Linked DNA regions of Arabidopsis thaliana. The protein of the gene in region 1 purifies or fractionates together with the protein of each later gene. This does not show direct contact. Each region holds a gene or a part of one and is shown in the gene's direction. Other genes may lie near its edges.

Region 1 (7,855 bases):
ACTTTAACCAAAAGAAGATAGACGTGTGCGATGACGTAAGCATAAAGAAAAAGAAACTCGACGATACGTGTCGAACATTCATTGGTGGAACGTGGCGAAAGCTTCTTTTGAGTCTTTCCACGTCATTGTATTGGATAAAATCAGAAAAAGCCACTTTGGTTTCGGTAAACTAAGACGGCGTGAAGTTGGCGAGAAAAAAGTATTACAACAACGACATCACGTCCTGGTTCTTAATTTTGTGGAAGCACGTGTTGTCGTTTTTGATACATGTACTTTGTAGTAGAGTAAACCGGACGAACTTCTGAAGAGATGTTTTGTTAATTTTGTAGCGTTCCAATAATTTATGGGCTTTATATGGGAGTGTTAACCGGTCGAAAAAGTACTCCTACCCTTTCAAATAGCTATTAACGCGAAATTTGAAACTACTAGTTAAACTTAACCAAATATGATCCCATAAATATGATATATATACACGGTAAACTAATTAAGAGACTGTTCAGATGGTTTTTGGATGAATCGGTGTATTCAAATTAACACAAACACACACATTTTTCAAAATGGACAGCCTGAAATCATGATTTTTGTTATGATCTCTAATTTCTAACCCAACATGCAACAAACAATAAATGATCAATACCCATTATCCGGTCCAAAGTGTTTTTAACAAACTTAACGTTTTAGATATAATCCAAGGATGTGTGTCAAAATTCACTTATATTGTAATAGACGAAATTAAACTAGATTAAATCACATGTTTGTGTGTTTTAACCATGTTTGATGGCTTCGTTGGGTCCAACATATTCCATTCACAATTAGGATGAAGAAGAATGTCTCAATACAGAAAGCCAAATATAAAGCAAAACACGTGGCTCATGCATTAGCTTCGCAAGCGAGCCGAATTATTTGTTATTGACTTATGTGGATCAAAATTAGCAAATGAGGTCTACCATCTACCCTTTTAAAAAAGAATCGTTTCTTTTTAACCATAGTTAAACCTTAAAAATGAAAAAAGTATCTAGAATTGATCCCCTCTAAATATTTTTTTTTTTAAAAACAAATACTTTCACATAACACAGTCGTTTTCATCGTACTGGTACATGTACTTTTTGGAATTTTCATATATCAAAATCGAATAAGAAGAAACAAAGATTCAGAGCCGTATTCCTATATATAGTTAATACAAAACATGCAATAACTAATCTGTTCACACAACAAAATAGGTTAAAATACGACTTATGTCCATCATCGCATGCACCTATTTGATAGTACAGTATTTGTTATCGTTAAGACACGTAAAGATTCCCCGCGCAAATTACAAAGCATCCAATCCACTTAACAGATATTGATTATACATATTAAGACAAAACCTGTTACAATCGGTGATGACTGAATTTTAAAGGACAAAAACATAAGCTGAAATGATTTAAAACGACAACAGAAGAACAGTTAGAAACCTGGCAATTAAATATGCTAACCTTTTTTTTCATTTTAGTTTGTCTGTTATTTTTGTCAGAACAGTTTTTGTCTGTGGCGAATTTAGTAAAAAAAAACTTTGTCAAGAACTTAAAACCATAGTCATTAATATTGGCTTATAGTGATACGATCGTCATTAACAGGATTAAGAATTTGATAACAGAAGAAAAAAACGACGAATATTTGGGTTTTAATTTGTGTAATTAAACGAATTTAAGTACTCCATATACTATAACTGCTGGTCCGTTGTTATCAGAGAGGAGACAGAATCTTAAGGTGAAAAATGAAGAATGACTTTTTCAGTATAACGAAGGAAAAATAAAATAAAAACACGAAGATGCCTTTTTGGTGACAGCACACAATTTATAGAAAAGAAAAAAAGAAAAAAAACGAGAAGAGAAAGAAATAGCCAATAATAAGTATACACACACTGTGCACAACAAAGTGATAGAGGCAGATTCAGAGAGGTGAAAAAAAGTTCGTCAGAATTTATCTATCTGATGAATTTTGGTTGAGAGATTTAACACCGAATCAGAGGTGGGTTTCTTCCACAATTATAGAAAAAGCTAAAAAGATAGACAAATTGTTGTTCTTTCTGTGTGTGAGATAGAGATCAAGGAGAGAGAGTGTGTGAGTGCAGAGAACGTGAAATGGAATGAAAATGCGTTTCCCACTTGCGGTTGGAGAGGATAAGGGCGACGAAATGAGTCTATTTCAGTGAGAAGAAGCCATTTCTCCGATTTCACAGCTCTGATTTCATTCTGCATGCTGGTAATGTCCTGCATTTCCCAATTTTTGAGCTTTCTTTTTGGATGTAATTAGTCATTATAACATCTCAATTTCATGAAATCTGGTCTATCGTTTTGCTCTAGGCTTCAAAGTTTTGGCCTTTCTAGAAGGATCTCTGATTTTATCTTGTTTTGAATCCGCTTCCGCTTATGGGTATGTGTTTTGGATTAGGATGTCGAGTTCCAAACTTTTGGGTTCTGTGAGTTTATTCATTACTTTATATAATTGCAGGTATCTATCTACAACCTTCCTTTTAAGTTAAGGTGAAGTGGAATATGCAGTTAGTTTGTGGAGATGCTTCCCGGAGCTGAGATTGAGATGTTAGGAGGTGACTGCTTTGAAGGGTCATATGAGGATCATCAGATATTCAGAGAAGTTTTCTTTGGAAGTGATCCTGGAAATACTACTAAAAGATGTCTCGTTACTGGAGCCATTAACTTCGAATGTGATTCCAGTAAGAATGTCAATTCCTCTCTGAGTTCCAACTCTGTGGTAACTAGTGGATATGCATGTCCACAAGGTTTTGAGGCATCTGCTTCAAGAGATGGTTCAGATTTTAACACTAAAGCTAAGAGAGTGAAGCTTTCAGGTAATAAGCATTTGGATGCAAGGGACGAAAAGGGATCTGCTTTGCATGGTTTTCCAACTTCGGACATAGCTAGAGAGACGATACCTCTCCATTTAGTTGAATCATCTAACAAGGGTGTTTCAACTAGCTCATATTTGTTGAAGCACAGCATAGTAAAGGGAAGAGAAGTTTATCTGGGTGGCATTGTGTCTGGAAAGTGTAAGTCACTAAACTTGGACAAATGCGATGGAAAGGAATTTAAAGCTATTGCCTCTCCTGTTTCTCAGGAGAGCTTCGCAACCAGAATGATCTCTGTAGGTGCTTCTACGCCGCATAGTGAGAAGGCTTGCTTCCCGCTACAGTTGAACAACGGATCTAAAGTATCTCCTAATGAGTTAATTATGTCTAAAACCTGCCTAAAGATTGATCCTAAAGAGGACCCCCGTCCTCTTCTCTACAAGTATGTCTGTAAGGTTCTAACTGCTGCCAGATGGAAAATTGAGAAGCGCGAAAGATCAGCAGGTAGGAAACATGTAGACACATTTTACATATCGCCAGAGGGACGGAAATTTCGTGAATTTGGGTCAGCTTGGAAAGCATTGGGTGGGATCCTATTAGCTGATCGTAAGTTAATGGATACTGGTACTAAGAAATGGACTGGTATTAATGACTTCTGGTCCGATCTCTCTCTTACACTGTTGGACATCGAGGAGAACATGAAAAATTTAAATCTTGCTAACACACGGGCACTTTGGTGGAGTGCCTTAGAGCCTTTTGTGGTTGTTGTCTTCATTTCTAAGCAAGTTGGTTCTTTAAGAAAAGGAAATAAAGTTGAAGTTGCAAGGAATTCAAATCCAGACAAGTTGAAGAAAGAAGATACAATTTGTTTGAACCTGATTTCAGGCTGTCCTGAAAGTGTGCTGACAGTATCTGAAGGCAGTCATCTTGTTCATGACGTGGATGCTAACCAAGAGATACATTCAGATCTTGAGGTGCAAACTAAAATTTCCTCTCAAAAAGTTTCTTCAAGACTAGAGAGGCAGAGCATAATTGGTAAGGAAATCTCTGGGACTCATGAGCAGGAGGCTAGCAAGGGCATTGTAGCTTCAAAATTGATAGCAGAAGACATGCATGAAAGTGTTATGAGAAAGAACTTACACAGAAGATCAAAGAAAATATCCGATATCAAACCAGCTTCCTTGGACCAACATGATTCACTAGATTCTAATTCTCTCAATAGCTTTGAATTCCAGGATAAAGAGATGGGCAACATTCACCTCGTCTCAAAGGGAAGTCGGGATGAAAGGTTGAGGAATGAGAAGATGAATAATTCATGTTGCAATTCAAAGAAAGGAAGAAAGAAAGCTAGGAAGCACTATACTCAAGATGATGACCTTATGGGGTCGACAATAACCAGAAACAAAGGTAAGTTCAGCAGATCAAGCCAGAAAAAGAAAACACAGAAGCCAAAGGCTAGAACAAAGAAAAGAAACAATAGGGGAGGGTGCAGGTTGCTTCCCCGAAGCTCAAGCAATGTGGAAAATCATTTTTTTCAAGGAAATTGGTCTATTTTGGGTCCTAGAACTGTCTTATCATGGTTGATAGCTACCAAAGTAATTTCTAGAGACGAAGTAATCCAGTTACGAGATCCAGATGATGATACTGTGGTAAAAACAGGCCTGGTAACTAAAGATGGAGTGGTTTGTACATGTTGCAACAAGACTGTGTCACTTTCTGAATTCAAGAACCATGCTGGATTTAACCAGAACTGTCCATGTCTGAATCTTTTCATGGGGTCAGGAAAGCCTTTCGCTTCATGTCAGCTGGAAGCTTGGTCTGCTGAGTATAAGGCGCGAAGAAATGGATGGAGATTAGAGAAAGCCTCTGATGATGATCCAAATGATGATTCTTGTGGAGTTTGTGGTGATGGGGGTGAGCTGATCTGCTGTGATAATTGTCCATCTACCTTCCATCAGGCGTGCTTATCAATGCAGGTATTGTCTGACTCATTCCAGGGTATATTTACATTTTAACTATTATTTATCCCGGTAATTAACTCTTTGCAAAACATACACATGGGTGAAACTTCTTGGCTGATTCTGTGATTCTTACTAATTCAACTCTAGTAACTTACACGGCATTAGTATAACTAGGATATTTTACCTTAAATTGGTACCCTCTAAAGAGAGTTGCTGTATTGCTTTTGCTTTTTCTACCCAGGTGCTCCCTGAAGGAAGTTGGTATTGCTCGAGCTGCACATGTTGGATATGCAGCGAGTTGGTTAGTGATAATGCTGAACGCTCTCAGGACTTTAAATGTTCCCAGTGTGCGCATAAATGTAATCATCTTACAGCTCGCAATCTCTTAGAAACTATGATTTATTTCTTTATCACATGAAAGGAAACCCCTGATTTGAATTCTCTTCTATCATGTCTCACTGAGATTTTATCACGATTGATGTCACTGTTCATCAGTAACAGTTGTAGATGGTGGTTTTCTGCCAGGCTCAGCACTTCTCCAATTTTCTTTCTTTAGTAATTGACACTTTGTAAAACTCACTTTTGGAGTTATGCCTCTCGCGACAGTTGGATCCCACATTAGTTATTTTGGTATGAAATCCACTTTGGCTGATGATTGTTACCTTTATGTTATCAGATCATGGAACATGTTTGCAAGGGATAAGTAAACGCAGAAAGCTTTTTCCAGAGACCTACTTTTGTGGTAAAAATTGCGAGAAGGTATTAATCATACCTAGTCACTGTGACTTAAACAACTAATGGGTAGTTTTTAAATTTACATTGAGAATAATAGTATATTTTTCGCTGCTCTTGGGCTCTTTGACATATAAACAAAGAAGATGTTAGCATGTTACAGCTGCTTCACAACTTTCAAGGTTCTCATTAAGTAGCTCGTGTAATGCAGGTGTACAATGGTCTTAGTTCTCGTGTTGGGATCATTAACCCTAATGCTGATGGTCTGTCTTGGTCAATTCTTAAATGTTTTCAAGAAGATGGAATGGTTCATTCTGCCCGAAGGTTGGCGCTGAAGGCTGAATGCAACTCGAAATTAGCTGTTGCCCTATCAATTATGGAGGAAAGCTTTCTGTCTATGGTAGATCCAAGAACTGGTATTGACATGATACCTCATGTGCTATACAACTGGGGGTAACGTCCTTTTGTCATTAGCTTGCACACTTAGATTTCTGTTTGTTACTTCTGTACCTTCAGTTCTGCTCTTCATTTTCATCGCTTTGTCTTACCTTTTTTGAATCTTTGTTGCACTTAAAGGTCAACATTTGCTCGGTTAGACTTTGATGGGTTTTACACAGTGGTTGTGGAAAAGGATGATGTGATGATCTCAGTAGCATCTATCAGGTTAGTATGAAGAAACTCGAATTCATGCTGAAAAAACAGTAATCTCATGGCTATCAAAGTGTTTGGTATGTCTTCTAGAACCTCCAGGCAATGAAACAAAATTTGACACTATCACCAAATGGATGCTTAGAACTATTCTTTCACTTCCATCCACTGGAACGAGTTACATATAAACCCCATTTTACTATATCCAGGGTGCACGGAGTAACTATTGCAGAGATGCCTCTTGTAGCTACGTGCAGCAAATATCGCCGACAGGGCATGTGTAGAATCCTCGTGGCTGCCATTGAAGAGGTACGATATTTAGAATGTAACCATGTGGTTGTTCTTGAAGCTACATCCACATTAATAATGTCTAAACTTAGTACAATGATAGACATACAGCACCGCTCATATGCTGACCTTGATAATCCCTTAGCTCATATGATCTCTCTTCCAGTCTTGTCTTGATCCCTGGGCTATCAATAGATAAAACTATTCATTGGTTTTGGCTGCAGATGCTTATGTCTCTCAAAGTGGAGAAGCTTGTGGTAGCTGCATTGCCGAGTTTAGTGGAAACTTGGACTGAAGGTTTTGGCTTCAAACCCATGGATGATGAAGAGCGTGATGCTCTCAAAAGAATAAACTTGATGGTATTCCCTGGGACAACTCTGCTCAAGAAAACACTATACGAGAGCACAAAACCCAGCACTATGAAAGGTAAAGCCAACTCCTCTCTCCCTCTCTCTCGAACGAACTTCATTTGATTTTTGCTCCTGTACAGGTGTATGTCTTTCTAAAGAACGCAATAACCCATCAAACAAAGAAGCAGATCTAGAGCCAGGTCTAGACAAAGCCGGGTCTCCCATGAGTACCCAAGTTGAGAGCTGTGATCAGATGGTTCCAGCAGGTTCAGATGATGAGCCATCCCCAGGCTTCCCCGTACCACTCGGAGCCGATCAAACAGAACCAACTTCAGAAACAGAGAACCCAAGCCGAGACAGCAATGCCAATGATAGGCCAAATAAAACAACAGTAGTCTCTATAGGAGAAGAAGAAGAAGAAGAATGTTTGCAGAAAGATGTATCAAAGTTATCAGAAGAAGGAAAAGAAACGACAAGGGCTTCTTCTTCCTCTGCAGCTTTAGAAGAAGTTAGTGGTCTAGGACTAGGAGTAGTAAATAATGTTAGCGATGAGATGTTGCTTTGTGTTGATGAACAGCTTGACTCTGATAGCTCTCAGGATTCGGAATAATATTATTAGACTAAAAAACTATGATCGTTTCTTTCTCTATATCCTCTCGTCACTTTTTTTTTTTTGAAAGAAAACCCTACTAAGATAAGGAAACCGCATAAAAGAGGATTCTATATTTTCATTTTCATTTTCAAGTCTTATCAAGCCTCAAAACCCTAAATACCAAATATCAAAACGCCCATTTTTCCGAACAAATCATGGTTTTTGATGCTGTCAATCCAGACCCCGACAGCTTCGTTTACTATTATCCGATCTATAACGATGAAGGCGATTTTGGCAGAACCCAAAACTTGATGTTCAAGTTTCATTTATGTTACAATCTTGCCCCTGAAGTAAATTCAGATGGAGAAGATGAAAATCCTCTCGATCTTGAAACTCTACTCGTTGATCGAACTCACGAGTTTGATAAAGGATTGCT
Region 2 (4,017 bases), on another chromosome or scaffold:
CACATATATATAAGGCTATGCCATAAACGACTACTCAAAAATATATCCCGTGCTTAGGCCGGATTCGCGGGTGACGATGCACCAAGAGCGGTTTTTCCGAGCATTGTAGGCCGTCCTCGCCACACGGGTGTGATGGTAGGGATGGGACAAAAGGATGCTTATGTTGGAGACGAGGCTCAATCAAAACGTGGTATCTTGACTCTGAAGTACCCAATTGAGCATGGAATTGTTAATAATTGGGATGACATGGAGAAGATTTGGCATCACACTTTCTACAATGAGCTTCGTGTTGCCCCTGAAGAACATCCGGTTCTCTTGACCGAAGCTCCTCTCAATCCGAAAGCTAACCGTGAGAAGATGACTCAGATCATGTTTGAGACATTCAATACTCCTGCTATGTATGTTGCCATTCAAGCTGTTCTCTCACTCTATGCCAGTGGCCGTACAACTGGTCAGTAACACACTTATATTTGTGTTGATCCAATCTATAACCAGTTTTTTTTCATGCTTGATTTTAAATAATATGAACTATTTTAAGGACTATTTGGTTATGCTTTTATGGACAACCCTAATTGGTTCTTTTGCAAATTATTGATTAGGTATTGTTTTGGACTCTGGAGATGGTGTGAGCCACACGGTACCAATCTACGAGGGTTACGCTCTCCCACACGCAATCCTACGTCTTGACCTAGCAGGTCGTGACCTCACGGACCACCTCATGAAAATCCTCACAGAGCGTGGATACTCCTTCACCACAACTGCTGAACGTGAAATTGTTAGAGACATGAAAGAGAAGCTCTCTTACATTGCTCTAGACTTCGAGCAAGAGCTAGAGACTTCCAAAACAAGCTCGTCCGTTGAGAAAAGCTTCGAGCTTCCTGATGGACAAGTGATAACCATTGGAGCAGAGAGGTTCCGGTGTCCGGAAGTTCTGTTCCAGCCGTCAATGATCGGAATGGAAAATCCAGGAATCCATGAAACCACATATAACTCTATCATGAAATGTGATGTGGATATTAGGAAAGACTTGTATGGTAACATTGTGCTAAGTGGTGGAACCACAATGTTTGGAGGGATTGGTGATAGAATGAGCAAAGAGATTACGGCTTTGGCTCCAAGTAGTATGAAGATTAAGGTCGTGGCTCCACCGGAGAGGAAGTACAGTGTATGGATCGGTGGCTCTATATTGGCTTCACTCAGCACTTTCCAGCAGGTGAACACATTAATATACATTTTTATTATTATTTGATCATGTATAATATAACATTCATAAGTTTGTTTTGATATAAATATTGGTATGTGTTTGAAAACTTGACAGATGTGGATTGCGAAAGCAGAGTACGATGAATCTGGACCCTCAATAGTGCATAGGAAATGCTTCTAATCACAGTTCCTAAGATCACCAAACGAAGACGGAAGTAAAAGTAAAAGACAGAAGGTTAAAAACATTGAGATTACTACCAAATGCCACATTTTTCCATTATATTTTCTAATCTCTCTTTTATCCTTTTTTTTTTGAATAGCCTCTCTATGTTAATTTTTCAACTAAGCATACTTTTCTTTAAACAATTTCCACTCCCAATGTACTATATATAAGCGACTAATTTCAATTATTATATTTTCTATTTTAAACTTAATTTATTTGTTACTCAAAAGAGATTTTGTGATGGTTAAACAATTGTGACTAATATACTTCAAAGACATCCGTATCAAACACAAAACAAGCTCCATAATGTTGATCTAGTACAAACAATTGTGACATATAAATGCATATTGTCGAAACTCACTAAATCTTAGATTACTCGGTTAAATGGATGTGGTCTAATAAGTGTCAATAAACACAACACAAAATGTTAAACTGATGGATTAGTGATGAGAAGATGAGTTTAAATGTTTCATTTAGTAATAAAACGTGTTTATTATGTTTGTTGGTAAAGAAAAGAAGAAACGAATTGTTGATGGTTAACTAAATTTTAATTTCTTATTCGATCTCGGTTTAACCGAACCGAATCGTAAACCCAGAAACAGAAGCTGCGACGGAGAATCCATTTCTCGAGATCGTCGCCGTTAAAATCTGCGATCTCATTGCTCATTGGTGAAGACAAATCCCTAATTCGTATGTCAGATTCTGTGGCCGGCGATTTCCCTCCCGATCCACTTCTCGCCTCCGGAGCCTTCATCTCCTCCGCCGGTGACGGAACCCTAGACAGTAGTGCGAAACGACGACCGATTCAGGGAGGAATCGGAATTTCTGGTTCGGGAGAGAGCGTACGCATCGGGATGGCTAACGGCACTGATCAGGTGAATCATCAGACGGAATCGAAGTCGCGGAAGCGTGCGGCGCCTGGAGATAATTGGTTGCCTCCTGGTTGGAGAGTTGAAGATAAGATTCGAACTTCCGGTGCCACAGCTGGTTCGGTGGATAAGGTAAAGAATCTCAGCTTGACTCTGCTTTTCTCTATGAAGTTTTGAGCTGCGTTGTTGCTTGAAGACTACAAATTGAGGATTCTTTGATTGCTGTTGTTTTGTTCTCTTTGGTTTAAAAATCTTGCCTTTAAAGTAGTGACAAGTGTAATGATGTAGTAAAATGATGTGGTTGGTTCTGCTTAAGCATTAATGAGTTTGTTTAGATTATGTTAATGGTGTATTGGGACTTGAATCATACACTTTATCAGTGTGATTAGTGTTACTTTGATTTATCAGGTGGATTTAGATGGTTTGGTTTGGTATATATTGTGATTGAAGAGATGAAGTTTTGGTGTTGTTATACTCGATGCTAATATGGGTGTAGATATTGATGTGTAGACTTGTGACATTTTCTTATCTGGTTTTGCAGTACTATTACGAACCAAATACAGGACGTAAGTTTCGGTCCAGGACTGAGGTGCTGTACTACTTGGAACATGGAACTTCTAAAAGAGGCACCAAGAAAGCTGAGAATACATATTTCAATCCAGACGTGAGTTTACATGCTTAAAGATTAAACCTTTCACCCTGGTTTCAAACCTGTGATGTGTATTGAATTTTGCATTTGCAGCATTTTGAAGGCCAAGGAAGCAATAGAGTCACCAGAACCGCTACAGTGCCTCCACCTCCGCCACCGCCATTGGACTTTGATTTTAAGAATCCACCAGACAAGGTAAGCTGGTCTATGGCAAACGCAGGAGAAGAAGGTTGGATACCTAATATTGGGGACGTCAAGGTTCAAGACTCAGTGAGACGAGATTGGAGCACTGCGTTTACCTTTATCACAAGCCGAAACCCTAGTAAAGTGTCGGCTTGAAGACTATGATGACCTGGTGGCGATTTTTGGGTTGTTGCATCTATGGTAAGATACACAGATATGTTAGGGTTACTTAATTGGATAATTCTTGTTTAGTCTTCATTCATCAATCATCAAGTTATGTGTACTATAATTTTTGTAGCGGTTTTTGGAAGAATATGATAAGGGGATATGCATCTTTGTGTTTGCTTTTGGAACGTGATAACCATTCGACTTTTGACTGATGAAATTGAAGACACTGTCGTAGTAACAAAGCTATTCTTCTTAGACATTTTGATACTGAACTATTCTGTGTTCCAAAGTCTTTTACTTTGTGTTTAGGAAAAGATCTTGTTCTTTGTGAAACCAGTGTCGTAATTCAAGAACTAATGCTTGACATGTCTCACCTGCTCAGGTTATCTAAATCTAATGGATAAGAAGAAACATCAACAATACTGCACTGATACAAGACAAGAAGCGTCTGTAGTCCAACGGTTAGGATAATTGCCTTCCAAGCAATAGACCCGGGTTCGACTCCCGGCAGACGCAATTATATTTTTCCCAAACATAATTTTAGATTTTGTTAACCAAACAATTTGTGGGGTTCGAATGTAACTGGTTGTAGCACATTTAATATCTGCAATAAATTATCAAAAAGGCCATTGGAACTCTCCCAACCCATCGTCTAATTTAGTAATTTTTGGTCTTGTAACCTTCTAGGTGTACCAGAGGCTTCCTTATTAGTCTTGTATCCC
Region 3 (3,878 bases), 1.3 Mb from region 1:
GATAACTGAAATAGACTGAGAAGAGGTTTAACTTGGTTTCGATAGCATATTATGAGTTCCATGTGGAAGTATTATGTCTATTAAGCGGCTAAAGTGAAGAAGTTTAACCTTCTTGTTGTCAAGATTTGCTGGTTATGGTTTCTATAGTTATATGTTTGTCATACCAAACTTTCGTTTTGTGTTTCTGCATCTAAGGAAGGACCAGTCTAATCCTTTTCTTTCTCATAGGGTTCATACTCACTAAAAATGAAGATGCTTGATGGACGCAAGAAGGAGTTAACTTGCATCAAGTTCTCATTTGATATTGGATTTGGATCCTCCGTGGCCGACATGTAGAGCTGATTTGCTCGACGGGATACACCATCTTGTTCTATACCATGGAACCACTCTCATTTATTTTGTATAAAATACACTCTCCTGCTATACATAATTGTTGATCAAAAACCCTTTGAAAATTCTCATTCTGGACCATTCATGAATCCCCCCATTTATAGAAAAAACAAAGTAATGAATTATTGATTAGGTTTTATAGAGCTGTGGTTAGTTCTAGTTGCAACCTTAAAGCTGAGCCTACTTTAACCAATAGTACATCATTACATCCACGTTCATGGAATTATAAAGACGTGACATACATCATCATTCAACCAAACGTAAACCATTAATGACTTATCAGAAAAGATGAATTTTTTCATAGCTTCAATATACCAACATGTTAAAAGGGACATTCCTCCCCTTTTGCTATGTATTTGGACAAAGTTGGGCTAAAGTTGGGTAAATTCAATGTTTTTTGTTACCCTAATTTAGCTTATCGGTTATCTTCTTTAGTACTACAATGACCCGTCAAAGGAGAAACTTTTGAAAAGCTAACCCACAAAGTAGCTTTTTTGTTCAGTTGAGTACTCATTTCGTTTTTCTCTTATCCAGTCTCATGTTTGTCAATCTTGATTAGGTTTTTGCCTCTCCTCTTTCACAACTTCTTATCAAAGGTTGAAGGTTGAAGCAATGATGGATATGAAGGAGAGAATGGTGAAGAAACTTAAGCTTATTACATCTCTTGGGAACTTGAAGCAGGCGATAGCTCTCCACAAAAGCAATCTTGATCACACAATCTTTCATCAAATAGATGAGAAAGAGTGTCTTACGCCAACGACAATTGAGGTTTCTGAGGATAAACGACTTCAACAGAATCTTGATGAGCTTTTGTGGGCTTTTGAAGAGAAATGTGTAGCTGGTGGGCAAGATTCTGTTGCTTCTTCACAACAAGTCTACGAGGAGTGAGAAAGACTTTCGAAGATTGCAGAAGAGTGAGATTCTTGCTAGAGAATCATAAGGCATCATTCCGAGAAAGAGATGTTTCAATGGATTGTGAGTACAAAGAAGAGATGTGGAGATTGCTTGGGGAGCAAGTTACACCTCCTAGGCTCTTCATAAAGTGTAAGTACATTGGTGGAGCAGACGAGGTGGTGTCTCTTAACGAAAACGAGAAGCTCAAGAAGCTTCTAGAAGTGTTTTCATCAGCTAAGTCGCGGCAGTGTGAGATGTGCGAGAACGAAAGATTTTTGATATGTTCGAAATGCAATGGGAGGTCGAGAGTTGTTGCAGAGCACGAAACCTGGAAGAGATGCATAGAGTGTAATGAGAATGGTCTTGTGAAATGTGCTCTTTGTACTTAATCCAAGATTCCAAGTGCTTAATAACAATTTATTTATATGACTATAACTAATTGTTTTATATGAAACAAAATGCTATGAATATACAAGGAAAATTTTCGAAAACAATACTCAAGGAGTTGAGTGAGTTTTCCAAAATGTTAAACCAAAATCAACCAAAGTGAAGAAAAAAATAATGTTCTATTGACTCTTCTAAAATCCTTCTACTACGGAACACGTATGGCGACATTCGCACGTGCGATACCCGTAGGTAAAGACACGTGTCATTCCTTCAATGGGCAGGACCGTACTTTCACTTGCGTACTTTTCCTTCTTCTTCCGACAACAAACCCAGAAACAGTCTTTCTCTCTTCCGACTCCGTTTACTAGATCAGCCTTCTCGCACCGAAATCTCAAGGTTCGTGTTCCTCTTTTCTGTCTTTTTGGATTGAAAGATTTTTCTCATGTTTATATATAAATCTTCAATCCAAATCAACAAAAGCATGTTCCATCCGATGAACTTATTTGGGGACTTTCCTCTGTCTAATCCACACTTTATAAAAATCGTACCTTTGTATTGTGTTCATAGAACCCAAACGCTGATTAGAGTAAATTTGTTGTTCTGGCAAAAAACCCAATTAGCTCTGAATGCGTCTACACATTTCTTGAATCGGTCATTCTATTGCTGCTACACACTCAAAATCGATATTTCAATGTCTTTGTGAATTGGAAAACATATTGAAAATCTTTGCTGCTTTATCAGTTTTTCATTCGATTCATCGCTGAGCACATTCACAACAAAAACAGATCACTGATTATTAGAATTGTATTGATTCTGAGTGTCTCTCCAAGCTAATGGATCTATATGATGTTGTGTCTAATGTGTAATGTGAATATGTTTCCAGTGATTTCAGACCACAATGGCCTCATTCGATGGGCAAGGGTTTATGATGGTTGATAATTCTTGGGTCCAGACCAAAGCCATTGATGTTGAATCAACAACCGATATCTCTCCTTACCTTTCCAAGATCCTTGAAGATTCCGTCTGGAATGGAAACCGGTCCATTGTCTTTGATGTGTATTGGGATGTCAAATCAGTTAGCACAAAGTCCGAATGGCGTCTATGCTCAGTGAAGTTTAGCACTAAAAACTTCTGTCTCTTCCTCCGCCTGCCGAACCCGTTCTGTGATAATCTCAAGGATCTTTATCGCTTCTTTGCTTCCAAATTTGTCACATTTGTCGGTGTCCAGATTCAAGAAGACCTCGCTTTGCTTAAAGAAAACCACGGTATTGTGATCCGAAGCTCGTTGGAGATTGGGAAACTAGCTGCGAAAGCCCGAGGTACTCCAATTGTTGAGTTCCTTGGAACCAGAGAATTAGCTCACAAGATTCTTTGGTATGACATGAGTAGGCTTGATTCTATTCAGTCCAAGTGGGATGAAGCCAGCTCTAATGATCGTCTTGAAGCTGCTGCCATTGAAGGTTGGCTTATTTTCAATGTCTACGATCAATTGCAGCAGTGATTTTTCGTGGCAATGTTCTTCATGTAACTCTTATGTTAACCTTCTTGATCAAATGGATTTGTGAGATTGCGCTTGATTGCGCTTGATTGATTCATGTTGTGTATTGTGATGAGTGAACAATACTGTCTGAATAAAACATGCCCGGCCTTGTCTTTTTGTCTGAAGATTTTGAGATTATGGTACAATGCCAAAATTTTAAGCTGTAAAAACATAATGAACCAAAAAGAGACAGCGAAATAGAACGAGCAAAAATGTAAATTCCTTGGATAGTTAGATACAAACTGGTTTAACTCTAAATCACATTCACAAGTTAGTTACAAAACTTACAAGAAACTCAACAAAACGTTAGCAACTCTGCCTAGGCTTTTATAGACTGGTAATCTCTGCGTTTGTGGTGTAATGAAACTCGATCTGTAAACGGTGATGAACAGGCGCGGTTGAGGCTAATCCTTTCTTGATATCCTCTTGCAACTCCCTAATTGGTATGGCCGCCAAGAAATTCTTAATATACTCTTTACATGACTCCTTCCCTCTGCTCAAAATCTCTGATTCAGGTTCTGATTCGGATCCTGCTTCCTCTGTGTGAAGAATCTTGTGGATGACGGTTTTATGGTCGAATTTCAAAACGTAAGCTTGATCACAACCCTCGTAAAGCCTTTCTCCAAGTGTGTCAATGATATAGTAAGCTTCTTTTTCAACTTTGAGG

What was found.
Region 2: the proteins of ROS4 (region 1) and MBD6 purify together in Arabidopsis thaliana (affinity purification with mass spectrometry, with the first as the bait; one study listed by BioGRID). This does not show direct contact.
Region 3: the proteins of ROS4 (region 1) and AT3G11770 purify together in Arabidopsis thaliana (affinity purification with mass spectrometry, with the first as the bait; one study listed by BioGRID). This does not show direct contact.

What each region holds. Positions count from the first base shown.
Region 1 is NC_003074.8:5,039,513-5,047,367, reverse strand, and holds ROS4 (Acyl-CoA N-acyltransferase with RING/FYVE/PHD-type zinc finger protein), read left to right. Parts: upstream 1-1,842; 5' UTR 1,843-2,039; coding exon of another isoform or gene 2,040-2,258; intron 2,259-2,345; exon of another isoform or gene 2,346-2,415; intron 2,416-2,493; 5' UTR 2,494-2,556; coding exon 2,557-4,824; intron 4,825-5,050; coding exon 5,051-5,168; intron 5,169-5,485; coding exon 5,486-5,568; intron 5,569-5,752; coding exon 5,753-5,994; intron 5,995-6,117; coding exon 6,118-6,204; coding exon of another isoform or gene 6,205-6,214; exon of another isoform or gene 6,215-6,398; coding exon 6,399-6,498; intron 6,499-6,701; coding exon 6,702-6,903; coding exon of another isoform or gene 6,904-6,950; exon of another isoform or gene 6,951-6,967; coding exon 6,968-7,437; 3' UTR 7,438-7,556; downstream 7,557-7,855. Other genes in the region: AT3G14981 (uncharacterized protein), read right to left, coding at 2,040-2,258; AT3G14970 (RING/U-box superfamily protein), read left to right, coding at 7,635-7,855. UniProt on the Arabidopsis thaliana protein: Histone H3 acetyltransferase that binds methylated DNA at chromatin sites lacking histone H3K4 di- or trimethylation and catalyzes H3K18 and H3K23 acetylation. Prevents the transcriptional silencing of transgenes and of some endogenous genes.
Region 2 is NC_003076.8:23,950,203-23,954,219, forward strand, and holds MBD6 (methyl-CPG-binding domain 6), read left to right. Parts: upstream 1-1,929; 5' UTR 1,930-2,118; coding exon 2,119-2,427; intron 2,428-2,836; coding exon 2,837-2,959; intron 2,960-3,037; coding exon 3,038-3,283; 3' UTR 3,284-3,505; downstream 3,506-4,017. Other genes in the region: ACT4 (actin 4), read left to right, coding at 58-451, 600-1,213, 1,319-1,384. UniProt on the Arabidopsis thaliana protein: Transcriptional regulator that binds CpG, CpNpN and CpNpG (N is A, T, or C) islands in promoters regardless the DNA methylation status. Plays probably a role in gene silencing. May associate with histone deacetylase proteins (HDAC).
Region 3 is NC_003074.8:3,720,784-3,724,661, reverse strand, and holds AT3G11770 (Polynucleotidyl transferase, ribonuclease H-like superfamily protein), read left to right. Parts: upstream 1-1,920; 5' UTR 1,921-2,067; intron 2,068-2,554; 5' UTR 2,555-2,569; coding exon 2,570-3,172; 3' UTR 3,173-3,366; downstream 3,367-3,878. Other genes in the region: AT3G11780 (MD-2-related lipid recognition domain-containing protein / ML domain-containing protein), read left to right, coding at 15-68, 229-336; AT3G11773 (Thioredoxin superfamily protein), read left to right, coding at 1,003-1,263, 1,332-1,673; AT3G11760 (structural maintenance of chromosomes flexible hinge domain protein), read right to left, coding at 3,539-3,878. UniProt on the Arabidopsis thaliana protein: 3'-to-5' exoribonuclease (RNase) specifically targeting single-stranded RNAs. Triggers miRNA accumulation in RNA-induced silencing complex (RISC), composed of miRNAs and AGO proteins, by degrading uridylated cleavage fragments.